Linked DNA regions of Lepisosteus oculatus. The protein of the gene in region 2 purifies or fractionates together with the protein of the main gene of each other region. This does not show direct contact. Links are inferred from orthologs where the notes say so. Each region holds a gene or a part of one and is shown on either strand. Other genes may lie near its edges. The genes, in order: akap11, cAMP-dependent protein kinase catalytic subunit alpha, pde4dip and akap1b.

Evidence for each region.
Region 1: the proteins of cAMP-dependent protein kinase catalytic subunit alpha (region 2) and akap11 purify together in Homo sapiens (affinity purification with mass spectrometry; 5 studies listed by BioGRID and IntAct, with this or other methods). This does not show direct contact. The link is inferred for Lepisosteus oculatus from reciprocal best matches to the Homo sapiens genes PRKACA and AKAP11.
Region 3: the proteins of cAMP-dependent protein kinase catalytic subunit alpha (region 2) and pde4dip purify together in Homo sapiens (affinity purification with mass spectrometry; 5 studies listed by BioGRID and IntAct, with this or other methods). This does not show direct contact. The link is inferred for Lepisosteus oculatus from reciprocal best matches to the Homo sapiens genes PRKACA and PDE4DIP.
Region 4: the proteins of cAMP-dependent protein kinase catalytic subunit alpha (region 2) and akap1b purify together in Homo sapiens (affinity purification with mass spectrometry; 8 studies listed by BioGRID and IntAct, with this or other methods). This does not show direct contact. The link is inferred for Lepisosteus oculatus from reciprocal best matches to the Homo sapiens genes PRKACA and AKAP1.

The regions. Positions count from the first base shown.
Region 1 is NC_090710.1:16,668,563-16,675,409, forward strand, and holds the start of akap11 (A-kinase anchor protein 11), read right to left. Parts: upstream 3,003-6,847; 5' UTR 2,938-3,002; intron 2,669-2,937; exon of another isoform or gene 2,591-2,668; intron 1-2,590. UniProt on the Homo sapiens protein: Binds to type II regulatory subunits of protein kinase A and anchors/targets them.
Region 2 is NC_090706.1:21,935,213-21,942,491, reverse strand, and holds the start of cAMP-dependent protein kinase catalytic subunit alpha, read left to right. Parts: upstream 1-4,270; 5' UTR 4,271-4,305; coding exon 4,306-4,420; intron 4,421-7,279.
Region 3 is NC_090704.1:7,911,400-7,918,916, forward strand, and holds the start of pde4dip (myomegalin), read right to left. Parts: upstream 3,009-7,517; 5' UTR 1,966-3,008; coding exon 778-1,965; intron 1-777. UniProt on the Homo sapiens protein: Functions as an anchor sequestering components of the cAMP-dependent pathway to Golgi and/or centrosomes.
Region 4 is NC_090721.1:6,861,380-6,868,826, reverse strand, and holds the start of akap1b (A kinase (PRKA) anchor protein 1b), read left to right. Parts: upstream 1-4,435; 5' UTR 4,436-4,597; intron 4,598-4,656; exon of another isoform or gene 4,657-4,741; intron 4,742-4,773; exon of another isoform or gene 4,774-4,842; intron 4,843-4,963; exon of another isoform or gene 4,964-5,182; intron 5,183-5,212; exon of another isoform or gene 5,213-5,343; intron 5,344-7,447.

The DNA.
Region 1 (6,847 bases), on a different chromosome or scaffold from region 2:
GGAGTATTACAAATTTCAGAAACATTATATAAAGGAAAACTGCCATTAGAAGATTTTAAATGAAAAACAGTATCAGCCAGACCCACCAGGATGCCATATGTTTTGTTAGTGACATGAATTTAAATGACAAAACATTCATAATAATAATAGCTTCCCAGACAATACTGAGTACTGTGAGGGGACATTACAATCAAAGAGTTAAATCTTTTTGTGTCTACGATTCTACAGTAGGAGAGATGAGCCAAATCTTTTTCCAGGAACAAACCCCAGCCAGCAGTCTTTGAGTAAAAAAGCAAACCTTACCAAACAGTGGTTTTTGGTTCCCAATACAGAAAGGACCTACCCCAGTATTTTCCCTGTTTTTGATTACGAATGACAGCAAAAGAGTAACAGCACACTGAATGACGTACTGAATGCTTTGTATGGCAATGCTTAGCATGATTCACCTTTTCATAGTGGTTAGCAAGAGAACTGATTTAAACAACACACCAGAACTGTCCCATTGTAAAACTAGGTGCTATTAATCATTGTGTGAATAGTCCAGTCGCTGAATCTATCTTTGGTCAGCGTTCACATCCATCGCCCGTGAGCGCGCAAGGAAAAATGTGCAGCCTCAAACAGATTGGACGTCATTCCCAGAGTGAAGAAACCGTCCTGTGACACAGTAGACATCCAACCAGCACCACAGCGCTGCCTGGAATTCTTTCCCATTGCAAACAAAGGAAGCTGCAGATGTGAGAAAAAAACCCCCGCCAGAAAGCTTCGTGCGCATCTCTTCCAAAGCCATGGCACGTAACCAAAACGATTCTCTTTCAAACGATGAGTCAACAGAAGTAAGCGACTGTTTATTTGATGCCCTGTATTTATGAGAATTGGCCTAAATCAGCTGAAACCTTAGCCAGCCGCTCCTGGAAATGAAGAAAGTAGCCAACACCTCTGTGACCCTCACTGGCGCTTAAAATACTACGCAAATGTATTCTTCTAAGCCGACAGTTATTTAGGCTTTAATTAAGTTTTGATGAGACAAAAAACTGTATAAGATGGCCGTTCCTATGTTCTGTTAACCCTGTTAGTTTGTGTATGTGTGTTTGCGAGTAGCAAAGTTCTCTCCGAAAGCAGAGAACAGGGGTCACTAACTGTATGCGTGAGACTAACATTGCATGGTAGAGCTCACATGTGTCTATTTCAAAAAGCTCAAGAGAATGTCTGTTCAACCATCTGTATGAGCAAACATTTACAAACATAGGAACACTAATATAGGTCAGGCTTTCAAGCGTGCGTGTACAGTTTTTATGTCAGTGTGGGCGCGAGTACGGGGGTGGATACTGAACGGAAACCAGGATCTGTACTAAGAAATACTGTACTTAGGATTTAGAATTTGTAGCAAACATACTGCAACTTTAGAAACGGCAATAACAGTAAACTCTCCAACAACATGAGACATGCACATCTTTCTGCACAGCAGCAACTGGACATGATCAGGCTGGAAGTGTCCATCTGACTTAGAAAGTAATATGTGAAAGAGGACAGACAACAGTCCTCGGGTTGTATTTCCTAATCGCACTAAGTTTCGTACTGTATGCCAATTCAAACAACCTCGGACATCCAGTCACAGTCCAATCAGAATAAGCAATGAAAATGGTGTCATTTGAGGAGATGTATTTGACTTTTAACACTCAAAAGAGACACTTGGGTCGATGCTCCACGCTACTCTATAGCACAAGACCCTCCACACTCCTTGATTAATGACACCTTTTCGAATGCACATCCTATTTACAGCATGAATTCTAATATCCCAGTGCTCACAGTTTATATGAAAATAAAAAAAAATGTATGGAGCCTAATAACTACACTTAATTACACAGCACAAAAAAAGTAGATTTCTTATCACCTTCACCTCATGTGAATAGTGTATTGACCGTTGCAGGGGAAACGCTTTGTGAAGGGGAATTAATCTGAGCAGCCAGCGCTAATGCCGCACTTCGGCATGCTGTAAAACCGCTGGGCGTCACAAACCGAAGACGGAAAACTGCCGAAACACCCGATAACATACTAGCGACGGCATAAACGCAATCTAAAAACAAACCAGGCACATAGGGTACTGGTGCTCCCTAATTATGGCAAAAGTTCCAGTCTGGGGGGAAGATGGTTTACACTCCCTGGGAAAAGCGATCAACCCACTCGCATTCCTACTGTGGATGAATTAGTGTCGCATCTTCCCTGCTGCTGTACTGTATCGATGCTATTTGGATTTCCAGTCTTTGAGGACACTATAGCGAATGCAACATGTCGAGTTTTTAACCATCAGCGTCCAGACACAGAATAGCGACTCAATACAAACCCACTACCCCCTTTCCCTTCCAACCCCGCGCAGGGGAACGGAAAGACTGCCATTAAAGCTTTTATTTTCCAAGAATTGTTTTCAGGGCCGCGGCCTGAAAAAAAACAACATTAACCAGACCCGTTTGTATCATCCGTCATTTACCCATGCATGACCAGAACACATGTTCGTTTACCACAACAGATGTGCGATCCTGTCAAGAAAAGGTGTGTCATGTGTAATCACTTTCATCTCAAAAATGATTCTCACCGTTTCGCCGTCGGACCCGCGGCTGCTGTCAGTTCATTTCACAAAAACAAGAGAAACCAGGCCGAAGCAATCCAGTCCGAATGATGATATATTCGTGGGAGAAAGCTGCCAGGGTTACTAAGGAACACCGAAACGATGATGGGAATGCGAAAAGGTTGCAAATTTATATAATTTTCCACCAGTGTAAAATTAACACCTCGGAACTACAACATTCCGGCTTATTTTTTACAATTTGCCGGGCACAATTTTAAGATTTTAAAAAGCTAAAGCAGACGTTTGGTTGATGTTCAAATTACAACCACATGGAAAAAATAAATTATTGCGTTGTTAACATAGTGTATACGTACAGTATATTGTAGCTTCTGTGAGCCTGGATACGGACGTAGAGTCTGTTTAAGTTTTGTGCCGGACAAGGTAGCTGTTGTCAAACCGATGACGTACCCCAAAGATTTTTATGAAAATGATTACTTCGTGTAAATGTTTTACTACTTTTAATGATTACTTCAAATGTACATTTAATTTGAATTGCATTTCAAAGGTGGTAGTTTGATCCCTTTAAAGTAAAAAAAAGGTAAGATTTTATAGGAATAAAATATCCCTAAGGCTACATGCGACTTATTAACATTCATAATAATTTAATGGTCATTTTTCAAATGCATATTAACTATTCATCATTACTCTAACCCTAACACAACCTCTGTTGTTATATATTAATAAATATTTCTGAATGTTACTATAGCATTAAAAAAATAACATTTTTGGTGACCACCATGTGAAGTGATTGATGCACAGTAGCATTAAAATGTATTCATATCAGGATAAACTGTAACTAAAAGTTTAATAAAGGAAATGCAGGTGTAAATTATGTTTTTTTAAATGTTACGGAATTTACTGTATCACATCAAAGAATACTGAATATATCAAAAGCATAAGTGTAACAAATAACTACATACCATGAGAGTCATTAAAATTCTGGAATTTCTAAGTTTCAATAAGAATTATATGCATTTTTATGCCTCAGTATATAATATATCATTAATTCATATGCAAATAATTTGATTACAGTCTGGAATGGCGAGACTAGAAATTAGTATGTGTAGTCTTGAACAGAGAAGACTACTGTATGATGGCACCCGATACAAAGCTTCTGGATTCCCACTGGACGTTGGATGCAAGCAGAGGATGTGTTCTGTGGGGACACAGAAGGTAAAGAAGAGGTGCTTCTGTACACAAAGGATTGTGGGAGTGTGGAACAAGTCATGTTGTTGAAACTGATACCATAGCTTCCTTCAAGACACACCTGGATGATATAATGGGATCCTATAAGTACTAAAGGCCAAATGCCTTCCTCTCATTTGTAATTTTTCTGACTGTATGTTCTTACCTGCATCAAGCCAATATTGGAAAGACCCTTCCTGGCGTTCTCTTAAGTTGTGGCAATGTGGAGTCTACCCTGGTAGCAGAAGAGGTACAAGGCGGGACTACATCCTGTTCATCGCACGCACAAGGAGACAATAATAATTGAAATAAATGTGTTGATGTAAAACAAGTGCATATTTCACTTATTATATAGATATTTTTTTGAACATCTAAATAATCAAATTTGCACCTCAGATATCTTTAAGATTAGTTTTAGAATATGGAGGATAAGTTTAGCTCTAGAGCAAAACACTTTGAAAACGGCCTAGCTATGAATTTGGGTATCAGCAGAAGCCACCAATCTGTCATATTAAATTCCTCTGTGCCATCCTGACAGACAGTTACAACATAGGATTTATATTAAATTTACAACTATGTCACAGCAGTGTTTCGCTCCAGACTGAATGGCTGTGCTGTCAGTCCAGTAGTCTCAGAGGATAATGGATTAATAAAGTGGTCCTTTGAAAGTGCAGTCTATAATTCCAGTCCTGCTGAGGGGTAATGAGAGAGAACAAAGGCACTAAGTCACGCATAAAAGCTTGGCTGAATTACATGTGTTGTAAACTTCTAGCTCAACGTTAAATTTTCTTTATGGGACTGTATATTATCAGAGGCTGATAAAGAAAAGAAAGTTCTTCCGATCTACACAAGGTTGGAATGATTAAGGAAACATTGGTGTCTGACAAAAGTCCTTTCGCTGCTGTTTAACCAGCTGCAGAAGGCCTTTGTCTGAAATTATTTTTTAATCATTTAAGCCTTCAATATGACATAGAACTACCTTTCTCTATCAATCATTTATACTGTATATACAATGTGGCTTAACCTACCCTATCTCTCTAGATTGGGACACCAGCAGAGGTTAGTGTGGGCGTTAAAAGCCACAGTGAATTATGGGTATAACTGGTATACCCCTGAAACTCTTAAGGCTGTCAAATTTTGCTCCAACATCTTGCACGGCCTAAGAGATAGATAAGAATTGTGTATGAATATTCATTTGGTCTTCGTTGAATTTGGTCTTCGTTGAATCAGCAGTGCTACAGGAGACGGGACTGTAGTAAGATTTTTCATTTAGTTTTGTGGTAAGAGGAGCTGGAATGAGAAATCGTAACACAATGAACACAACTTGTTTCATTGTTAACCCATGTGCAGTATTTGCTCTCACTTGGCGTGACTATAGAGTAATCCGAGTAAATGTCTCTGTGAGGGACACCGCAGTGATGTATGAATTGGCGACTTGAACCCATAGCCTTTTGCCCCAGCGGGAACACGAGAGGGGAGATCACACGTATTGGAGCCTCCCTTTGTGAGATGAAAAACTGCACGAGCACAGACTACAGCTGAGAAGAACAGTCCTAACACGCAACCTGCAACCCTTCCTGGCTGCCTGAGATTTTCATCACATGGGTTCACTGGGCACACTGGGAAATGGATGACACAGTTGTTGTAAATACCACACCTTGAAGGCGATTGCTGTGTTATATTGTAATATGTTGCTTTCCCTTTTGTATAACACTGTGACTTTGAACTACAGGATATTGTGCATTCAATTTTCAGTGTAGTTTAATGTACTGTATTTTGGTGAATATTTCCGTCTTCATTACAGTACATATCTTTTGGAAAATGATTCAGTCAGCATATTTTATTTACTGTACAAATCCAAAAGCATGAGATAAGAAGTTTCAGGGTGAACAAAGTTTCTGCTCTCTGCCAATAATTTGTTATTATTTTAGTTGTATGTTGGACGACACGATGGTGCTGTGGTTAACATTGATGCCTTGCTGCGCAGGGCCCCTTGGTTCAGTTCTGGATGCGGGATGTTATCTGTATGGAGTTTGCATGGGTTTTCTCCGGTTTCTCCCCACTGATAGCTGGTGTGTGGGGAGCGTACTGGTGCACTGCCTGCCATCGCATCATCCAGGTGGGGCTGCACACTGGTGGTGGTGGAGGGGAGTCCCCATTACCTGTAAAGCGCTTTTAGTGGTGTGTCCAGAAGAGTGTTACAGAAGTGGAAGGAATTATTATTATGATTATGAAATGGGATATCTGTCAAAATAGCATATATTTCTAAGTTCATGATGCTCACATTTATTCATACCTTGCAATCAGTGGATAGGTTCTCAAGCCTCTTATGAGGGATATTCTTACAGATTACACAACTCGATCTTGTGATCTGCTTTCTTCAGCTCATAAACATTCTGCAGGAGCCTATAGTAACTATTCAAAAACACTGAGTGTTTTACTCTCATAACCACCTGATCCCTTCTTTTGAAATATTTTATTGCCCTTTTTAATACTGCAATATATTAAGGCACATTAATTTGCTATGATGGGTTTACAGCTCACATTGTCAGTGTATAACTGTACTAAATAAGAAATACTCTTCTGTTTTTCTGCAGCCTTATAATGCTTACAATTCCAAATTTCGAGGATTTTACTATTTTTACGATAGGATTTTACAATCTTACTATTATATCTTCCTTTCTATACACATGTGTCCATATACTGATTTTAAACCAAGCTCAATTTCTGTTTGGGAAAAGGCACTGGGATTAATTGAAATTATGTGTTTTAAAAATACTTAATGTTTCCTATAGAAGGATGGAACTAGCTGAAAAATAAGATTGAAATTACATTAATACTTAAGTATTATATAAATTTGCATAAATCACTTTTGGGGAATTTATATATTTCATTATTATAGCCTCTGGCTCTAATATCCTTTTATTTTAATTAAATTAAGACCAAATGTTCAGACAGTAGGTGGAATTTAATGTTATTTTTACCACCTGTAATATAAATTAAAACAAATGTCTTTCAGAAACTCTAAAACGTGTACAC
Region 2 (7,279 bases):
GGCAGAAGAGTTGGCAGCTACCGACAATGACCGGGTACCAATCACATTGCAACACAAATACATTTTCCTTAGCTGAAATCTCCTGTACTAGCTGTACTGTGTGTCTGCAACATCTCATTTTGCTGTACATTTTAAAATATGGGCTGTAATTTTGACTGTAATTGCCGTTCTTGATTATATGTGATTGTTGTTCTGTTAAATAAATCTTAACTAAGTTTTTTGTTAGCACAGAGATTAGAATGGATTTGCACTGTGACCTAATTATTGTTGACTACAGTGAGCGATTTCTTCCATTACATTGTTGTCAATTTAATTAAATGGAATGTAATTGTGTGACAAATTGTTGGTGATGGAAAGCTTGGCAATGAATAATTCAGAGCTGAATTGTCGCTGCTAATGAAAAGGGACTGGTAAATTCATGGGATGACAATCCAGAGCTCTGCTTTCACTCACAACAGCAAGCAGATATACAGGTACAGACCAATGATTGCTGACACTATCGCATCAGTGAAACTAGCATGGTCCTTTGTTCTAAGATTACGAAAAGCAGTTAAGCATTTAGGATTTCATATAGAAAGATGGAATTATCAGTCAAATTTAATAACTTTATGATCAGGTGCACCTACAGTAGGCCTTGCATTTAAAATAAATCCCCCAAACAATTTTCTAAATCCTGTGAAATTTCACTCAAACTCTGAACTTCTTGAGTGCAAGGGCAGGCTGAAACATTGCATCATTTCACTACAATAACCGTACTCAGGAGCTCTCAGTTTGAAAAAAAGTTGTTACATCTTGCTGTTACCAAAATTCTGGACCATCTATAATCCATATTATGATTGAGCTGCCCAGATTCCAAGAAATAGAACAAGAGCTATCTGAGAAGAGTTGTTCTTGGATAGCTTATCTTGGAAATCACCTGAAGAAAAACATTGCAGTGTTCGGCTGCTGATGTAAGCTACATTTTGAATAGGCGGCTGACTGTAGTCATGGCTTCAGGTGCATTTTTAGATCTATTGAAAATATTATGCATCTCTCCTGTGTGGGTCTTCTTGGTTTTGTCTTTACTGAAACATTAATCACGGACACCAAGCCCCAGGTTTGGAAGGTTATGAATGGGAGTTTTCAGTTTTTTACTTAGGAACTCCAGAGTCAGCACATTGTGGAAAATCAAAATCTTTTTCTCATTTAATGTAAAAAATTCAAATATGGAGACGATGGACTACAAATGCACTTAACAGTCTTTTCTGAACCATTAGATAAAATCGGTCTTGTAGAGTTTAAGGAATAGGGAGGTCAAAATCTATATGCATAACAGCTGAATGTCGATCCCTTCGGTAACAGGTGTATGGTGTGCTGAGGTTTTTATTCTGTCTCGGCATATATAGTGGCACTGATTAGAGACCCAAACCCTACAAAGAATCACTTATGAAACCTTCTCTTTTTGTTGGAGATTAAAAAGCAAACAGTTAAGAAATCATGCATACATTTGTGCACCTTTCCCAATTTCCTACATCCCACAAATGTAAGAAGAAACCTTTTCATTTGAGTTGCAGAATTTTTAGGTTCAACACACCCTTTGATTTCAGTTCTAGACGTTCGGTATGTCCATGTCAATATTTAATCTCTTAAAAAAGGTATGTTTTAATAAAGATCCAATTTTAGAAGTGGACTCATCAATTAATTTTCTTTTAATGAAGTCAGAATAACCCTTTTCCATTTCATTTGCAGATTGTTTTTAATTAAGCAGTGGTGCACAGCTTTGCATTCTTTTCAGATGTTTATGTACAGATGTGTAATATCTCTGCAACACAGCAAGTTTGGAAAGGTGGCTGTGAAAGAACCCCTACGGCCGTGAACCAATACAGGGATAATTTCTGCTTGTTAAGTAATACTAGAACATGGTACCATCAAGGAAGAGAAGCAGTTTTTATTTATGTCGCAAAAAGTATAAAATACAACTATTGTCTGCTATCTCCTGTATTTTTCATCACTGTCTGAACAGCGTCAGTAACACATTTTTTAATTGGATGGAGGGCACTGGCAAATGACAGGAGTGATTATTGTGTGATAGGCTGAATGTGAACTCATCCAGCCATGGGGACGCCTGGCCTGCTGTGTGCCTGGGCTGTGAGCAATCCTAGTCCTAGCCAATGATGTGTCCCAGCCCCAGATTCTGAGCAGATATCTGTACTAGTTTAACCACTGGAGGGAGCTCTGCTTTTCATGATTTCAGATGATTGAGTGAGCTATAAAAGAAAGCAAAACAGTCTGTATACAAAATTCAAACATTAAGGGCCACGTGAGCACAACATTTGTAAATATTATCCTTAATCTCTTCATTTCCTTATTAGTATTAACATCCTGCACTTAATAAGATTCTGTTTTATCACATTCTGGTGCTCAGATTTTACTTTTAACTTTCATACAGCAAGACCTTCATGAGTGCTGAGGATACATTCCACAGACAGGAGTGCTGTGGAATTCAGCACTAAGAGAAGGAATTACAGCTCGAGTTCAATGCGTATGCGTTCTCATGAACCCTGTTTCTAACCCCCAGTGGAGCCCTCATATGACAGTAATATCTATTGGTAATGGTAGTACTGCCATCTGTACCACAGAATATAATTAACAGAATATAATTGTATACGGAAAGGAGTTTTATTTTTAAATCACTTTATAGGTGCAGAGACAAATTTGTCTGTGCCTCAGTACATTCAAGTTGGAACTTACTTAGACCATCCACTGTCTGTCTTCACCCCTCCAGCTTGGCTGCAGTGGGAGACTTATAGGAGGAGCCACATTTGCCACGATGTGCCAGGCTGTGGCACATGAGAAAATTACTGTAATAAAATAACCGAGATCGAAAAAGTGCGAGAGCATTGTAAATGGTCCTTGCTGTTCTGCACGGTACTATGGACTGAGTGTTGAGAGCTGTTTTTCATTGCTTCTTGCCTTCAGAACCAAAAGCAGGAGACACGTCTCCAGCCTGAACTGAGTGTGCTTTAGGTGCTTCTGTCTGACCGGTACGCATGTCACATATGACCTGCCAATAAGCAGACTGTTCTATTGAGAATAATTCAAATAATGGCCAGGACAAAGAGCACTATGACCAATCAGCACTAAAAGAAACAACACTAAGCAAGGTATTACACCTAAAGGAGGTTCCATGGCTGAAATGTTGCATCTCTTGTCTTTACCTTTCAGTATGAAATTAACCTTTACCTAGTACGAAGCAAGGTATTAAGAGTGTGCTGATGATCAGGAATATTGTCTGTGAGCATATACATAGACCTGCCCAATACTCATATCAGCTTAGGGCAGGAAAAACCAGTTCCCTAACCTTTGCCTTCACCACAGTTTGTAGCTAATTTGCCTGTTTGGAGGGAGGATTTCCAAACTATTGTGTTTGTGCCAAGGAAAGAGAAGGCAGAAGAGTAATACCGCATTCTGACTCCCAGCAGGCTCAGGGAGAAGAGTGTTTCGGATGAAAGAGGAGAGGCATTCTGAGTTTTCAGTATGGAATGAGAATGTAACTAAAGCAGAGATAGGGCTAGTGAAGAGCTTTGTCATCTGCAGAATGAAAGGAGACGAGGCTTCGTTCTCAAACAGGTTTTGCTTCCTTGCCGACGCTACCTGGAGCTTTCCGTGGGAGCTTGCAGACAATATGGAATATATCCTTTTCAAAATCTCTCTTTTTTTTTACTGCCAAAGAGCCCCGAGAGAAGAGGTGCAGACTGTGTAAGAGTGAGCACAACTGGGCATTTTTAATGAAAATGCACTGGAACAGTTTCAGCAGGAGGAAGGTTGTGCTAAGACACGTGCTAGTTCATGGACTACATATTCAGGTTTCTCAGCTGCATAAAGATGTCTGAAGAGTGTTGCTGCACACAAACTATCAAAGACAATAGTCGGGTAGCCGGACAGGTGAATTGAATGAAATTTGTCTCCTAGGGGAGTGTTTTTAACCGAAAAAGTGCATATATAGTTGACTGACCTGCATACCCAGCATCAGACGCTGTGGAGCATATTTCCTTGCCTTATGCTTAAAGTGAAACAGCAGTGCTATTTTGAGATGTGTTTTGCCAGAGAATTTCTGAGGAAGTGCAGCACAGCCTCCAGTTGAGAAAGGGAAGTGGAAACACTGGTAGTTTTAAAATCAAAAGCCTAACAGGTGTGGGGGCACCCAGCCGAGTTGGGTCCTGCTCCATTCCTTCACCCTTGCAGTAGGCTCAGCCGCTCCCTGGGGATCTGCACGGCAATAGAGGTACAGTTGAGTGTTCAGAAGCTACTGTGCACGGGGACGCAATGTCAGCTCTCCAGAGGCTAGCAGGGAGACTGTTCCAGCGCAGTCCCCGGCCGGCTGACGAGGAAGCAGGGGAGACCTGCTTCAGGTTTGAGGAAGAGGAGTACAGTTATAGAAGTGAGTCAAAGATGCAAAGGAGAGGGGGGTACTGTATTGTTAAATTAATTTAACTGCTGTGAAAGGACGGCGAATGTAACTTAATCCTGCAACATCAAACTTTAATGTTGCTGTGTACGAAGTGTATTGTTTTTTTTTCCTTGTCTCATTGCAAATCTCACTGCACTTTTCTTCATAGTATCACTTTCCCCTTGGGGTTTTTCTTTACTCTAGTATAACCCCAGTAATGGAGAGAATGAGGCTGGTTTTGTACTGGGTTTCTGGTGGGCTCTCTAAGAGTTAATTTCACAAGTGTGTGAAATTCTTGATTTCACAACGTCTGACACTTTTTCAATATGTATGAAAAAGTGGGCAATGAGTAACGGCCTGAGAACAGAAGTTTGTATCAATATTCTCAGGGTGTATTCACTGCCCACTTTTTCATACAGGCTCAATTTTATGTACTGGGCAATGTGCGATTATCTAAAATGAGAATTTTGCAGAATCAGAGGAACAGTTTCAGTTAACTTACAGAGCATAAACATTAGTTTCCCTTGCAGTGACCATTGTGCAACTTCCACTTTGTCATGCTGGCGGACAGTTGATTTTACAGAGTTTCTTCCGGTACAATGGCAAGCAAATAACTGGGGGCGTCTTGACCCTTTCAAACACTGTTCAAATTGCAGACTGACCTTGTTTGGCGTACTCTTTAAGATTATGAATCTCCCATGTTAATTTTCTTTTGAAAAGGAAACTGAAGTAGGCCTGCAAATATTCAATTGAAAGTAGCCAGCTTTCTGGCTTTCAGTGTCTTTGTTGACAAGCACAGAGAAAAGCATAGAAGTGATTGCACAGCATATGTAATTACATATTCTGCTTCTCTTTCATTGTTTAAATTCTATTTTATTTGTTTGTTGCCTGTTTCAGGGATGTTAAAGGTTAATATGGACTACGGAGTCTGTACTATAACTATTACATAAGGAATATAGTAATAATATTACATTGAATACGCTTTTATACTCGGGGTGCACCATAAACTGTTTATTGCAGAATACACCAGCACAGAAAGCTGAACAAAAGGTGCATTTGTTGTAATTTATTTTTAGATCATATGCTCCAAAATGTCTGAATCCTGTACATTTTCTGCCTTGCTTAGTTAAAAGTAAAGTTAGTGTTTTAAGCATTGAAGTTAACTGATGTTTTTTTTTTACACACTGAATACTTCTTGAGTGAGTTGTGGTAGACTTTTCATGCATGCATCCCTGATGCCTTTCACAAAGCAGGCAGGAGTGCGCCTTCTTTAAATAGAATGGAGAACAAAGATTTCCATACATTTTTTGTGGCAGGCATAAATTCACATAGACAAGGCAGTGCTTACCCAGCTGCTATTAATAGCTTATGCTGAATTACACTGTTTGTTAACAACCTTGTTTTTATACCTGTCTAACAAGGACAGGTTTGTATTTGTCGGAAAGGAATGTTTTACCTGTTCTTAAAGGGACTTGCTCCGTAATTCTAAAATGTGATCTGGGTACACACCTTTGTGTACACCTTTTGTAGTTATATTTGTATAAAACTGAAGTGACACGATTTAAGAGATGGCATGACTCATTGATGGTCCTGTAACTGTTGAGCAAGTGTGACCACACCACAGAACCCCTACATCTAAGTACAGGCTCATAACTCTCAGTACATAGCATAAATAGTTAAACATTGAAGAGGTTCAAGCAGGGAGCTGTGTCAGCATGCATTAGCTGCAAAGGAACAAACAAAGGTTCATTCCATACTAAAAAGTAGAAAAGAGAAATGCAATGTTTCGACTGAGTTTTCTTTAGATGTGAGCAGTGTAGAGCAATGATTGGGGTTCTGGACTAGTAACTGCAAGGCCATGGTTCACATCCCAGGAAAGACCCTTTCATTGTACCCTTGAGTAAGGTACTTCACCTGAATTGTTAGAGTACAATACCTAAATTAAATGTATACATGGGTGCAAATGTGAATGTAAATCTGAATGTTCTAGTAAAATGTTTATTATAAAATCCAAAAGGCCCACGTTAAATCTGAGATTGGTTTTATGGATATTGTTGAAGCTTACATGTGTGACAGTCACATGTGTGACATGTTAAATACTGTCTTCAAATTATCAAACAGTTTTATGGGGAAAATAGACCAGATTTTTAAAATAAATGTGAAAGTGCTGTTCTCAGAAGGGAAAAGATCAATTAAAATAGAGGTTTTTTTTCTGGGTCACAGCTGACGAAGAAGTTTAGTATAAAGCCTGAGTTAACTCCCACTTACTAGTAACTCGTGGTAATCCTGTGAATACCGGGAAGGAAACAATCGGTACTCCTTTGGCGAAGGGGTGGGAGGAGCGTGGTGTGAGAGGCGTGCGGTATGGTATTGCTGTGGACACCAGTCAGGTAGAGCATGGTGCGGCACTCCAATCCTGTGAAGGATGGGAGACCAGGGGCAAAGGATACAATACCAAGCGATGATAAGTAATTCACCTTTACAGGAATATCCTACATCTGTGTGGGCAATAAACTGAAGTTTGTGATATGTATCTGAACGACAGTGAAAAGTACTGAAAATATAACAGATGAACAGGTAAAGCAGAATATCAAAGGGTGTGAGACTCGGAGGATGAATTTAAGATGTTTTAGTTGGCTATTTTATTATATTATGCTGTTGATAGTGTGTGATGTCAGGGGAGGGGGGGACGGAACCACAGTCTGCACTGAAATGACCAAAATAAGCATTTCCATTCAAAAGCTATAAATTCAATTAATTTTTACCAGATATTTGTGGTCAGTTTTGTAAGCTCAGATACTGTTCATCCCTATCCTGCAAATACAGTATAGGAGAGGAAAAGCACATGGT
Region 3 (7,517 bases), on a different chromosome or scaffold from region 2:
TCTAGAAGGAGAGGATGTGGCTGTAACTATTGTGCTGCATCACGTCACTGAGGTAACTGTTGTCATGCCAATGCTGAAATTACCAGAATGATCACAAGAGGCTGGCACATGTCCAGAGAAGGCAATCAAGGAGCAGATTATCAAGAGCACTGTGGTCTAAAATTTCTGAAAGTACATAAGATTACCCAGGACAGATCACACAACGATTTGCTGGCCATTCAAATACTCACGAAATATGATGCATATTCATAAAAGTACTGCATTGACATTCGCTACATGTCTGAGCTTCAGCAGTGCAGAAGCAGAGGGAAGACACTGTCTGCATTTAGAGAGATCAAAGAACTCCCTCCAGAAGCACCGCTTCAAATAATGTTATGTAACCAAATTTTATACATAAATGTGGTCATAAGATTCAATTTTATACTAATGCCGACAGATAATACTAAGGGAGGTTAATGTCTAAATGATTGTCAGGGTTTTACTATTGTCCTGGTATCATTTCTTGTTTAAAGATCACTCCTTCCCCTTCTACAGCTATCTCACCTACATTAGAATTCATAAACCATCTGGAATGCGTCGCCCAACAAGATGCTTTGACATGGGCTAAAAAAAACCTTAGAAAAATCACAAACCCCACTTCACGTTGCCTGATCAGACATAATACTCCAAGGAAAGTCACAGTGAAAATTCTTTATCCAGCTGCACTATTTTTTAGCACACTGACAGCAGAGTGAAGGATGTGAAGATGTCACTGAATGGCAGTACTGGGACGTCTACCTGAAAGCTAAAGGGCATGTACTCCTCATAGACATCCTGCCAGAGCTCCTCTAGTTCGGACAGCTCCAAGTGCATGTCCTGCTGAATTCTGGGAGGCACCATCTCTTGAAATTTGGCGGGAAATTCGGAGCCAGTGCCGTAAGGTGTCCTGAGTGTCAAGTCGGCAAAGGCCATTTTGCTGTTAGGTCCTGGGGGAACAGATTTAACCAGGACTGGCAGTTTGCTTCCCCGTGGGCTCTGGATGGGCCTGTACTCAACGTTTTTCACCAGGCTGAGAGCCAAGTCCAGCCTGTTGGCCTGCGCGGCCATATTTAGCTGCTGCGGGGCCTCTTCCGGCCAGGAATCAAACTTCTGGTCCTCTCTCATCTCTCTCTCTGCCTCTTCGTCCTTGGCGGCGGGCTGCCCCATCTCAACAGCCGTGTCCAGGGACTCCACCGACGAGCCGGGACTCATTCTCTCCGAAACGTCCGCGTCTTCCCCGCTCGTCTCGCCCACCGACTCGGGCACGGTGGCGACGGCCGCCGGCTCCTCTCCGCACACGCTGCTCACGACGCTGGCCGAGTACCGCGTGGAAGGCCCGCAGGAGATGCTCCGGGCCAGCTTCCTGGGCACCTTGCAGACGGCTTCGTAGTCCGAGTCGGCGACGCGCAGAGCCGCGCAACCGCGGCACCTCCTCGAGCGGTGGACGGAGATCTCGGAGGCGTGGCAGTGGTGGTGAGGGTCCGCCGTTTGCTCCTCGAGCTCGGCCCAGGATTCATAGCCCGAATAGGCGAAGTCCTCCTGGAGCAGAGCGCTGTACCGGAGGTCAGGCAAGCCGGAGATGTCCACCGTGCCGTCTCCGGCCTTGCCCTCCGGGCCCGCCTCGTCGCCGTTGGTCCTGCGGTACAGGCTCCCGATGCACTGCCTAAGCCGCTCCTTCTCCTGCAGCAGCCGCTGCAGCCGCTCGATGGACAGCGCCTCGATCCGCGCGATCACCGTGTCGAAGCGGTACACGCGGTCCAGCATGAAGGCGCACTTGCTGCAGGCGAACTCGCGCTTGCCGTCCCGGGTCAGCTCCCGGCCCAGCACGTGGGACAGCAGCACCTGCAGGTTGAGCTTGGAGGCCGTGTGGAAGATCCAGCGGCGCTGGTTGCCGCAGAGCTCCCGGGCGCAGATCCGGCAAGCGTCCTTCATCCTGGAATCCAGCATGGGCGCCCCCTAGCGGCAGGGAGGTCTCAGCCAAAGTAGGTCTCTTGAGCAGCACAAATCTGATTTGTGAAAGTTTGGTTTCAGAGCCAGCAATGTGCAATTAAACAGTGTAATATACAGTCCAATTTTAAAAGTTATTTTCCTGACAATATAAATTAAGTGGACTTTTAGCCTGAAAATACTCAAGCTTATCAAACTTATTTGAGCAATTCAGTGTTTAGTCGTTCATGTGCAAAAGATTCCTCCCAGTGAAGCTGCGAATTGTAATTGTTCGATGGAAAACAGAGATAAATGGCCATTTACGACTTGAAGCGAGATTTTAAACAGGCTGAATTAAATGAGATCAACAGCTGCTTTTCATACTGATAACCGCAATCAGTAATCAAAGACCCCTTCCTGCAAAGGCTCAATATCATCAGTGTACCGCTGGAATCGAGGCCAACATCCCGGCAGAGCATCTCCACGCAAATACGCACAAAATACTTTAAAGCTACCTTGGGTACCAAGACAGAAAAGGCTCAAAATCGCGTTGCTTGCACTAAAATAACACTATTACATAGGAAAGCCGCTTCGTGTTTTTAATCTTAATATTGGAAGAGACAAATAACTAAAAGGTGAAATTCAAAACAGACCCCCTTCTGTTGTTACGCTGCCAGTCCATTTTTAATTTTGTAATGGAAATCCTGATGCAATAGCGTGAAGGATTAAAGGAACATCCAATTGCGCGTTTAAGACAGCGTTTTCCGGGAAAACAAAACCATTATTTGTCACATCTTAGGAACGGATTTCCCGAACACGCGATGCCTGCGCATCTGCCCGATGAAGCTCAGCCTAATCAAAGGGCTCGCAGTATCATCACCGCCGCTGCCGTGTAATCCGACTTCAGTAACACTCCCGAGATCCACGGTCCCCGGACGAAGGTGAAAGTGATTTGAGGAATCCGAGCCTTATCTACAAATTACGGACGTCCCGTTGTATTTGCGCTTCATTATTTACACGCACTTCGCCCGGATAACGAGGCTGCAGCCCGAAATAGGTCCATTGAAAAGCTCGCAATGATGTGGCAAGACTGTAACCAGCTAGCGCTGCTATGGCGGGACTCACCATTTGAAAAGAAAAATAGGGGTATCTGTTCTAGCAATCATTCCCCAGAACCACAGGAATGAACGTGTTTGAAAAAGACTCAAGAGACCCTCTAAAGACATAATATCACAAAATATTTTTTTTCACTCGATTTGTTAATAAGTGTATAAAATGAAATCTGCTCCCCATTCTACAACACTGCCCCTCCTGCGAAACGTTGGTTCAGCCCGAGTGCAAGTAATTTGCATGGAGCCCTGTGCGAGCAGTGATCTGGCGTTCACGCCGGCAGAGGTGAAACGCTGAATTCTCCGGTTTAAAGGTGAAGGTCGCGTTAAACTGGCTCCCTCTGTTCGCTCAAAACATGCTTTATGCAGCCCTTCGGAAATTTGTCCTTAAAACGTGGAAAGCGTTAATGACTTCTTTTAGTAGAATACCCCCGAGTAAATACTGTTGAATAAACGTCGTTTCAGTTAAGAATCTTGAGAAGAAAAATTAAAATTACGCCAGTGTACCGAGACATTTTATATACAAGTGGATGTGGGTTTCAAAATCATCCAGTGTATCAGCAGGGGGGTGTTAAGCCAGGAGTCCTGTCTGAACTCCACTCTGGGCTTGTACAATATAGCCTCCTTCAAGCAAAGGCCGATTGCAATTTCTCACAGAATAGCTGTGTTCTCTTTCGTCTTTTTTTCAGCATGGAATAAACCTATTACTTGTTCCTTTGCAGCCTACGCATGCTGACGCAGCTACCCACCTGAAAATACCCATATACTTTATGCGCAAGTAAATTAATAATTAACTGAAAAACTAGGAAAACTAGTTACTAGTTATTGTTATTTAAGAGAGAATTACTGGACGTCACTATGAATCACTGTACTCCACCCATGTGTCTCTTGCAGAAGGCCTTTTGCTAGTAAAAATAAAACGTTCTTACATTTATTAAAAATAGCAGGTCAGACCCTAAACGAACACAAAATGCAGGTCTCCAACGTCAGTCAGAGTACTCTGTTCATCTGGGAGTGTGGTGTTGAGAAAACCAAGCCTACAAATCACATACACGATGACTTGAAATATCAGCTTCAAATATGACTCAAATCTAACTGAGAGAATGAAAGAGTATAAAGCTCTACCAATTGTATTCAAATGACTTCATCTTGTATACGAACACTGGAAAACTTTGAAGGACTTTGAAAAGATGTGCGTCATACTTTGATGCATTTCTATTGTTTTAGTAGGCTTTTAAAGCGGACCGCGTCACCAAAGTACCTTTCTCTAAAGTACCTTTCTTTCTCTAAAATTCTTTAAAGTCTGCATTGTCCTTTAAGAATCATACCCTAGCAGTAATATAGGCATGCCTTCTGAGCTTGCCAGTAAGAATAATTATAGCCAGAGGGACAAGATGAACTGCACTATGCCCTGCAGATCTCACCTGCAAAGCACTGCCCACTGTGACCGACAATTTTGTGCGGTATGACTTTTGCACTCTTTTGTTTTTCCTTGGAAAAGATTCGTACTTTGCCGGAACAACACCACACGCAAATGTGCTTTCAGTTGTTGCTCTGTTGCTTGGGGAGGAGGGGGACAAATACTTTCACAGCTCTGGTAAACTACTGCTTTAAAAGAGGAAACACAGCTTTGATGACCAGTATCTTTGTCAGTCTGCGTGAGCCCTTGAGGTGCATTAATACTTAACAGTGGTCACAAAGTCTACAGTGGTTACATTCTTGTTACAAAGGTTAGCCATTCCATTTTTGTTTTCGTTTCCACCATCCAAGAGCATCTGTAGTGCTATTAGGGCTTTTCCCCCAATAGCTCAACTATGTCTTGTGTTTTTGAAAGACAGGGGAAATCATTCACCTATAGTGCACAGATAGCCAGCAGGGCAAGAACACAGGGAGGGAATCGATTTAAACAACCTTTCCCTCTTGCCGGGCCTAGTCAGCTGTGTCCATAGGCTTCCTCCCTCCCAACAGTGAGAGAAGTGACAGCCTGGCTGTGAAAGGCCACATGTTGTGTGCAGAGCTGTGAGCAAACTCCTAAACAATGGGCTGACTTGGCACACACACAGACGCATGGGACCCACAGCAGGGACAGTCTGGACACTTGTGTCTCAGCGGGGGGGTGGCTGATGGCTGTAAATGAATAACAATAGCCAGAATCTCGGCATTAATAATAATAATAATAATAATAATTATAATTGCTTACACTTATATAGTGCTTTTCTGGACACTCCCCTCAAAGCGCTTTACAGGTAATGGGGACTCCCCTCCACCACCACCACCACATTAGCCATTCCTCTTTGTCCAACATCACTATTGAGAGGAAAACCTGGAATGAAGTTCCACTGTATCTAAACTTTGAATTACAGTGCAACGCAGACTAAAATAACTACCCCCCCAACAACGTTGGTAAAAATGACATATAATGACTAAGTAAATGACAAATATCTTTAAAATGCCATGACTATGAAAGGTGATGAAGACAAAGAGAGATTTCCATTTTTAAAAAACCAATAAAAATGAAATAATTAGGACAGAATTACCCCCCCAAAGGATTTGACTGCAGAAAAATGACCCTGATGTGCATATATAAACACATGTACCACCCGCTATACGTAATGTATGTCTGTTCATAAATAAAACAGGTTTCATTTTTTCACCAGTTAATCTTAAACCTGGATGTAAATATTAATCTCTCATTACAATAAATTCCATTTTTCATAATGAAAAAGTGATTATTTACATTAATACAGCTTGTTGGGACGTCACTGTTCTTACACAGTTTAGAATAAATTATAACATCTCTGCATGTTTACTCTTAAACTGGAACAGCCACAAGAGAGACGTATGAGCTTTCAACAGCCTTCAACAATAACGAGAACTGCAATTAAAAATCTATTTATTCTAATCAGTGGGAGTTACTAAACCTTACAGTGCAATTAAGGCACTTGATCGTGTTCCTTCAAAAGTGACAGCAACGACACAATGTAACACTGTAAGAAGCCTGGAGACAAAATGGCTAACTGAATGTGATATTAAACTGACTAATCTTCTTTAGTATCTTACCTTCTCAATTTCCAAGTTTAAGCCAGTTAGGTCAAATTTACGCGTCAGTTCCCAAATAAGAATTAATGTATTTTTTTAAAATACCTATAAAGTCAAACTGGTATCACTAAATTCCTATTTAATCAAGTTCCAAGGTTTTCATCACAATAAATATTGTTGAATTTCCTCTGTCTAATGTCACACCCTCTGACCTTGTGAGATTATTTTCTCCTTTTTTGCAGACACTTTTCGGCAATGACAGTCTAAATCAGCAAAGAGACACTTTCAATTACAGCTGGGAAGCATATCTGAGAGGGTGTGGGCATATCGTTAGCTTGTCATCTGTGTCTACAGGGAGTCTTTGTATAATTGGACCCATTTTAGGTTATAAATAAAATGCATTCACAAAAAAAGCATTTAAAATGCATTTATACACATCATTAGAAAACGATAAGGAACCCAAACACTAATCATCATCATCAGTGACAGGGAAAAGGGCTGGGAGAGATATCATTAAAACTAAGGACTTGGATTGAGACATCAGAGGATTTAGAAAGTGCAAAAACCTACACTGATGGATAACGGCGAATGCATTCCAAACAAGAAATAAATATAATAGTTTCGAAGAGTCTTGTTTTTATTTCAGTGCCGTTTTGTGATAACAAATTGATGGATTTTTGTTTTACAAGTCAAAAATATTCCCTTTCCAAGAAATGGCTCAAATTATACTTTAATCATTGTCTCTCTACCTCCTATTGCTTTTGCAGTTGTAGTTGCTTACTTGGTATTTGAAACATTTACTGTAAAAGAGCTGGCTAATTATGAGAACTATGCTTCCTGATTAGGACATCTGTATTTCTCTTGAAACAGATTTACATGTAATAGCCTGAGGGGTGTCAGGAAACTGGGTGTGTCTCAGAGAAGTACTTTACAGTATATTCTAACAGAACTGCTAGTAGAAAACACTACAGTTTATTTCAAGGCAAATATACTAAAAGGGTGCATGATGTGCCTCAATTATTGGAATACATTTAATCTTTAGGAGTAGGGTCTGATATGATTATTCAAATTCCTAGTTTTCTTATTTAAAAAGATATTTTCGGTAAGTAGCTCTATTAGCCAATAGATATAATATTAACATTCTTCCCTTCAGTTTATGTCCAAGTTTGGGTAAATGCTGATGCTATAGCGAAAGCAATGCTAAGATCTTAAGATTTCTAAAGAAAAGCTCTGGCTGTCTGTGTAGTTAAGCAGTGCAGTGTACCACACTGCGGGTTCTTTGCTTGTTTTTGGTTCTAGGACAAGGTTCTGTGGACCTGTTCCACTTCCTGAGATTTGGTAACTTCTAGAATCTCAACTCCATGTAACTGTAAAAACAACTGTCGAATGAACACGATGATTTCACTTCCTTCCTCACCTTCGGGC
Region 4 (7,447 bases), on a different chromosome or scaffold from region 2:
ATAAAGGGAAAAAATAGCTTTGAAAGTAACATAAAGGTACCAAACCCAATCTGACAAGGTGTTACAGACCTTAATGTTGTATTGTTAAAGGAACCAAAGTACAGGAACTGCAATATAGTGACAGAATAAGCTCCTATATCACTGACTTTAAGAGAGAAAGTTCATTTGAGAGTGAGGGACGGAGGCAGCCTGAGTTTCGTATTATATATATTTACAGATAGTGAATGCTTTTTGATTATCTTGATATTATAGTTAACAAAATACCGACCAAAATAATTAATGCAGTCGCTAGTGGAGGGAGTATGTATATTAAAATAGGTCTGGACAGTGTAAAGGTGATTTAACAAATGTAGCCAAGGTACTTTAAAAGTTTGTTTGCTCCTTGTAGGCCTTTCCAAGGTGTTCCCAAGCTAGAAATCCGTTCGTTCCTGTGTCATACGGCTGAGAAGAAAAGGACCATCTTTGGTTCTGTAATTTGGTTGTGGGAGCCGCCTTCTCCTGAGAACCCACCCCTTATTTGCCGTTTGTCTGCCGATGCCACTTCGACCGGGTGTTTCCGAGAGCGTCGCCCCAAGTCTCTCTAGGTTTTGGACCGCCAGTAACCGAGATGCTGTACAGGAGAGGCCTGAGACGAAACTGATTCAGCTGAGGGGAGGATTCTGGGTGCATCTCTGCTTTATTTGTGTTTCGTGCCAGGGTGCAGAATGCAGTTTTCCCTCCCCAGGCAACTTGCTCTCTCTTGTCACAAGTGTCACCTGGCGCAGCGCGATGCAGACGTTGCGCAGAAAGAAATCTCGCACCTTAGCAGAAGGTGGGAGAAGCTCTGTCTGCACAACTGTATGGGAAGGGAAAAACGACTAGTTGGATCAACTCGCTTATAAGCCTTTAGTCTCCAATGCGGGGTTATTTCAGTTTTCAATAGATGATACCGAATTAGTAAAAATTGTTTATTGAATAGGAACAAACTTAAAAATATTTTCACTCATTTTGGAATTCCCATTTTCTCACCCTTTAATGAGAAATATTTTGCGAATTCCTCCTCAAAAGAATGCTCTGCACCTGTGTGACAATGGTACGCAACTGTAGGGGGAATAGCGATGGACTGGGAACTGGATACTGAAAAGGTTAGCAAGCACAGACGTGACGTTTGTTAGCTGGGAACTCCAGAATATGGCAGACTGAGTGGCGGCTGTTGGTTTGCATTGCAGAGATAAAGGTCCTGCCTCTGACTGGACAGCGAAACAAAGCTCATCCGGAACCGAGACCTTTTAAAAAATACAACCACCATTTTCTGAGGGCACCTAATGATTTTCAAAAAGATTTTAAAAGCTGAGAGTGCACATAGAGCAGATGACCTGGTTTGTGTGAAGGCTGTTTTGTAGTGTGTAGAATTGCACTATTCCTAACTGCAGTCAGACATGTCGTTTGCAAGGAGTAATGACCTAAAATTAGGCACCTCTTCCACGAGGTTATGCAAAACACATTTTCGCCACAAGGAGTCACTGTTGAGCGTTAGCCACACTATTTTTTTTAATGCAGTACGTTTCACCTCTGTAAATATTTTGTGTAAAATTTGACAAAGGTATATTTACTACACTGTAAATACATGTGACGATATATTGTATTATTTTGCTTTTTTGTAAAGCAGTTAGTTGCTGTACATGTATAACATACAAATTTAATTATTCTAGTGTTAGTAATGATACTCTCCACTTTCATTGCATTATGCCATTAAAATAAACATACTGAGAAAAAAATAGAGATGACTACAAATTGCTGTGTATTATAAACTCGCACTGTGTAAGGTAAACTTTACTGTTCCCTTTGGACTTCGCCATGAGCAATGTTACCTTAATGAATAGCCTCATTCCTTTTACTTCTGTGTGGCAAAGACATGCCAGAGGAACTCATCAGACGCTACAGAAACTGCTGTCAGATTTGGATATGTTACTCGTAGCTACCATTGTAGAAATCATTGTTCAAAGTTTTTGCTCGTCCCACCTCTCTCCCTTTCCATTTCCATCCCTGTATGTATGACTTTTTTTGGAAGTAAAAATGTAAATTCAACCTGTTAACATCTGTTGTGCTGGTGTCCTTCTGTTCGGGTGACCCAGGCAGAGAGCCGACAAGTCCTCCGAGATAGCTGAAGAAGAAAAAACGCACGTTTTAAATTATAATTAAGTGAACTTTTTTTTTAAAGCAGTCCAGGCAGATTTTTCTGTATGGATGAGCTGATGGGATTATTTTTGTCCCAGCTTTATTTTTGTGTCCGGCTTGTGCTCTGAATGCTTTTTCCCTGCCAGGTAACTTGCTTTCTCTTGCTCTGAACTTCTTACAAGTGCATTACCCACTGAAGCTAGAGCCTAAATACAAGACACCTCAGGACAGGTGGAAAACCCAGTCTGTGAGGCCTTTTGTGCAAATGGCTAGTTAATGGTTAAACTAGCTGACTAGTTGGGTGTAGCTGATGCCTTTAACTGTAGTACCATGCAGGCACAAAGACTGGAATTGTGCAGTGCCTGTTTTGGTGGAAAGGGAATCATGTTTAAGAAGAAGACATCCTGCTGTTAGAAGTTTATGGATCCAAGAAACTATTTTAGATTACAAATATTTTTGTCATTAGCACCTCTTATATCTACCTGTGAGTTTTATATTTTAAGCTCAGGGACCATGAGGAAAAAACGTTAAGTAAAGAAAGTTAAGGCAGATAGTGGCTGCTACTGTCAGCTTTCCTGTCCTGTGGACTTGAGCTCCTTGATCGATCTCTTCTTGTGCTTTTACTAACTGCAGAGGCACTTGAGGGAAGTACGCTTAATTGCTTAGTCAAACCAGAGATTAGCACCATTCACAATGCAAAACCCTTTCTCTTGCGAAGGCATCCTGACGCACACTGCACAGTTCATCAGACGCAGTCAGCATCACGCTCTTGCATGATGAAAGCATGCCCGCAAAAATTAAATGATCGTTACTGACTTTACATAATCTCACGTTTTGGGATTTCTGCTCCGAACATGAAAAGGAGGTCCATAGACTTTAGGGGGACTTTTCTTGCTTCACAGGCAAATCAAAATAAACTTAAAAAATACAATAACTAATAACATGAGAGTTAACAGATTGTTTAGCCTTTCATCTTGTAGATTCTTCCTCATCCCAGGAAATAAGATTAACTTTGTCCCCCATGGGGAATTTTTTGTATGGATGCATACTAGTTCTGTACATCTGAATACATTACAAAACATTGCATATCACTTGTATTGTACATGCATAACTCATTTTTTAAAAAATAGGGAGCCCTAGATTATACAAATCCAGAGTGTAGTTTGCCCCAGACACTGGAGTTAACAACCTGCCTCTTGCCCTGAGATTTTTAATACAGCAGGATCTGTTTAACTCATCTGAAGGACAGCGCCTCCTATGGTGCAGTGTCGCCCATTGGCTGCCACCTACTGGTCTATCACTACATCACTACAGCAGGTTCTTTTTTGAGATACATTTTCCCGTACTGACCAGTCCCAGCTCGGATGCGATCTGGACAAGACGAGATGGAAACGCTTTTAATTAATTAATTAATTAATTAATTGCTTACACTTATATCGCGCTTTTCTGAACACTCCACTCAAAGCGCTTTACAGGTAATGGGGATCCCCTCCACCACCACCAACGTGCAGCCCCCATCTTGTTTTTTCCACCGTCTCAGTAGAAGACACCGTTTTTAAAAGGGGGTGGCTGCTTTTGTTTCTTAGTATGATAGTGTATAGACTGTATATTGTACTGCCCCGCCAGGCGGGCTGAGAACAGCGCCTGGGGGCGGGACTACAGGACGGTATATAGTAGGGCGGAGGCTGCGAGACAGCCCCTTCCTTTCGTGTGTGTGTTAGAGAAGGTGCAGCGCTGTAACCTCTGTCCTTGTGTGTGTACCTTTTCCGGTTCAAGTTCAAGTTAATAAATGTGTTCAGTCCTATTCCCCGAGTCCCATGCCTGCTCCGTTCCGTACCGAAACCCGAATTCGTTACAATATTCTAGCTCCCAGGAGGTTTATAACAATGAATGAGCCCAGCCCCACGTTAAATCAAGTAACAGCAGCGATTCTTATTTTCACACCAAAAGCCAGGCAATATGAGCTGCCCGTGCCGTCAGATTCTCTCAGGCCACCATCCGTGAACACTACGAGCTTTTCTCGTCGGCCCGTGACGCGTCCCCTCCTCCCAGCCTCGCGATAGGGGCAGAGGTCGCCCGCCGCGGAAACCCACGCCATGGCGGCTCCTGGCCGCCCGGCGCCGTCCCGCCGGCGAAGCGCCGGGCGCCTGAGCCAACATGGAGGCCGGAGGGGCGCCAGTTTCCTTCCTGCTCTAAACCCCGCCTCTCGGGATTCGACGCCTGGCTCGGAACCTCCGCGAGACCCGCCTGGCTGCCCGGGCCTGTCGCGAGATGTGATCAGCTGTTGTGTCTGTTTTTAGAGTCCAGTGTCCGGACTGCCAGCACGTGGGGAGGAGAGACAGACAGAGAGGGGAGCACGCTGGGGGATTAAGAGAAGGGCACGAATCTGTTTAGATAGTCGCATACAATTCACGGTGGCGCTTTACAAAAAAGAAAAACAGTAAGTATACGTGCGCTTCGTATCCCACACCATGTGCGGCGGCGGCGAGGCGAACGGGGCTGTCGGCTCAGCAGGCGTGTTAATAGTAGCGTTAGATTTCCTGACGTAGCAGCGACCTATCAAACCTCAGGGAGCACCGGAGCCGTAAGTTAACTTTTCAGGCGAGCCTTCCCGACTCGAGTCTCCGAACTGGGTTTTTTTAACCCCCCACCACCACCACCACCACTCACCTCCGTGCATTCCCAGTAGGTCTTTGCTGTAGTTTGGAAGAACAGAAAACGGGATTATTCATTATTTTTTGTCCTTTCTCCACACACACCCCCCCTCCTCTCGGTTGGGCACAAAGACACCGAAGGAGGCTGCCTTGTTCTGGCCCGGAGCACCGGAGTATCGCACCGGCTGGATTGAGGGGGTCGCCCGCCCGCGGAGGCGGCGTGTGTGATTTCGAAAGTGTAGCCGTTTTGAATCTTTCGCTTCTCCCTCCCACCATCACCACCTCCCTGGCCCCCCGTATAGCGGCGCGGCACCGCCTGCGACCCGAGTCGAGGAGCGGGGTGGTGTGGTGCGCGCCGCCGGACCGGAGAGGTACAAAGACGGCGAAGCGGGGAGGTTTGAAGGGCCGGAGCGGTGATCCTCATGGGCTCGTTAAAACCCGCTAGCGCCCGACGCCGTGCTGAAGGCCGCCGGTAGCCGAGTTCCCGGTGAATTTGACGGAGGAGAGCGATTCCGTTTCGGCGGGTCTGGAGGTGACTCATTCTCCTCATTCGCCCAGTGACCAGGAGCGCTGCGGCCTACCTCGCCTTCGCAATATACCGCATACATATACTACAGCGGCATCGCTCGTTTTGCATTGTTTCCTTGGTTTTTGTCGTCTGCGGTGCCGCATGACTGGGGTGGAATGAGATTGTTGCCTTTCTCTCTCTTTTTTTTTTAAAATTCGGTTTCCCCACTGGCGAAATGTAGCGGGGATGGCGGTGCACCTTCGCTCGTCTTGTAGCAGCTTGCAGTCCCTGCTTTCTGCAACGTGCCTGACGATGCTTGTGTGTGAGGTTGTCTGTTAAGTTTCTGCTGCAGAAACGGGGCTTTTCGGAAGGACGCCGGCGTGTTGTGTGTGTGTGTTGGGTGGGGGGGGGTTTCCGATTAGACCTTGCGATACACTTAAAATCGCCCACTTGCTCGGTTTGTCGACACGCCGGGCACACACACGGCCAGCCCGGTGTCCCTTGCGCCCGCTTGCCAAGGTCGCGGCGCGGCCGCAGTTATTTTATCTCCTGGTTCAAGGTGAGCTTTGGAGGGGAGGCGGTAACGCTTCATTAAGGACGGGAGGTTAGGCCTCGCGTGCCGGTCAGAGCAGCCGGGGAGATCCTCTCCACGCGTGGGGAAACAGGTGTAGGTCACGGAAGCAGACGGCGTGCGCGTCGCTCTCCCTCTTCTTCCTCCGCCGTCACCGGAATGTCGCTTTAAAAATGTCGCCGTGTGCGCTTGGGTGTGTGTAGTCGTGGGCTACCTGCCTGCCTGCGGCTACAAGCCGCCTCCCCACGGCGGGCGAGACAGAATCCCCCTGGGGCGAGTGCACGGCAGCTCTTCGGGAGGTTAGGCGCCCGTAGTCGTTGTGGAATCGTATCGTTGTTGTGGCGGGATGAGTGCATGTTTTCTTCTCCAATTCGCGAGCAGCTGTGAAGTTTTCAACTGACATACTTGTTAGTGAACTCCTCCTGTTGGAGTTTTAGTGGTGCTTCATCACTCATTTTCTGTGGTGCGGTTTGCGGTTGCTTTTTCCTCAGGTTTAGATGAGGTGTGTTCACTTAGTTAATGGTGAAGCCTGGTTTTTCATGTTCAAAGCATTTTTTTTATACAACTGCAAAAATAAATGTGTCTGTAGGTGAAGCTCAGAATGCCTTAACCGAGTTCCTCGTTGTGAATGGGATGGCTGCTCCTCGAGCTGGCCCTGGTGATGTTAAGCATCCACTTGTGTGTGGTGGATGATTTCAGCATGAGGAATGAAGGGCCCTCTACTTCCCCGGATAGCCATGAATCAAACCACAGTCAGTCCGCTACTCTTCTGCCATCAGACAAGGTGGCTGGAAGGTGGAGGAAATGTTGTGTGCCACATTGAGCTGAATGCATTGTGGAAGGTTTCCTGCTATGGGATTGAGCACTGCATGTTTCATCATTGTCATGGCTGTGGAGAGGGGAGTGGGTGACGTTATTGGCTTGTTTGCGGTTCTTGCCGCCACGTACTGCTTGGTGCTGCTTACCTGCTCAGTCTCCTGTCCCGCAGAGGTTGATCAAGCTAAAGGTCTTTTTGGCAATGCGCACAAGGCAGGCAGGAAGGCGGTGTGATCCCAACTGGAGCGGAGTGAAATACTGTAAAGGGGACCCGGATTGATCTGAGCCAAGGGCATTTAGACCTGCCGTTCTTCCAGCACCTCACACTGCAGGACTTTCCAACAACCTGGTCTTTAATTATTTAATTGGCCCGTGCAGCATGCAATTAAATAATTATGCAATTGACTGATGTTACAACATGCTAGAATGGAGAAGATGGGGAAGGAGCGCTTTGTGTATTTCTGATCTCTTAACTGCCAGGGTAGACTTGACGGTTACCTCTTGTTTTCCTGAATGACTTCTCACTGTGGAAGCCTGGACTTGGTTAGGATTCACAGTCCACCCCTGCAGAAACGGGGATGATGTTGGCAGCCTCTTTCAAGTCAGTCAGAAACGTAGGGTTACCTTGCGGTTTACTTCTGTTTTTAAAAAAGGAGGATTCAGTCTGCTCTGCGATTTTAGCTTTTTAGTATAATTTTGTTTCCGGTCTTGGTTCTGGTAACCCGAATGCGGAATTGGAAC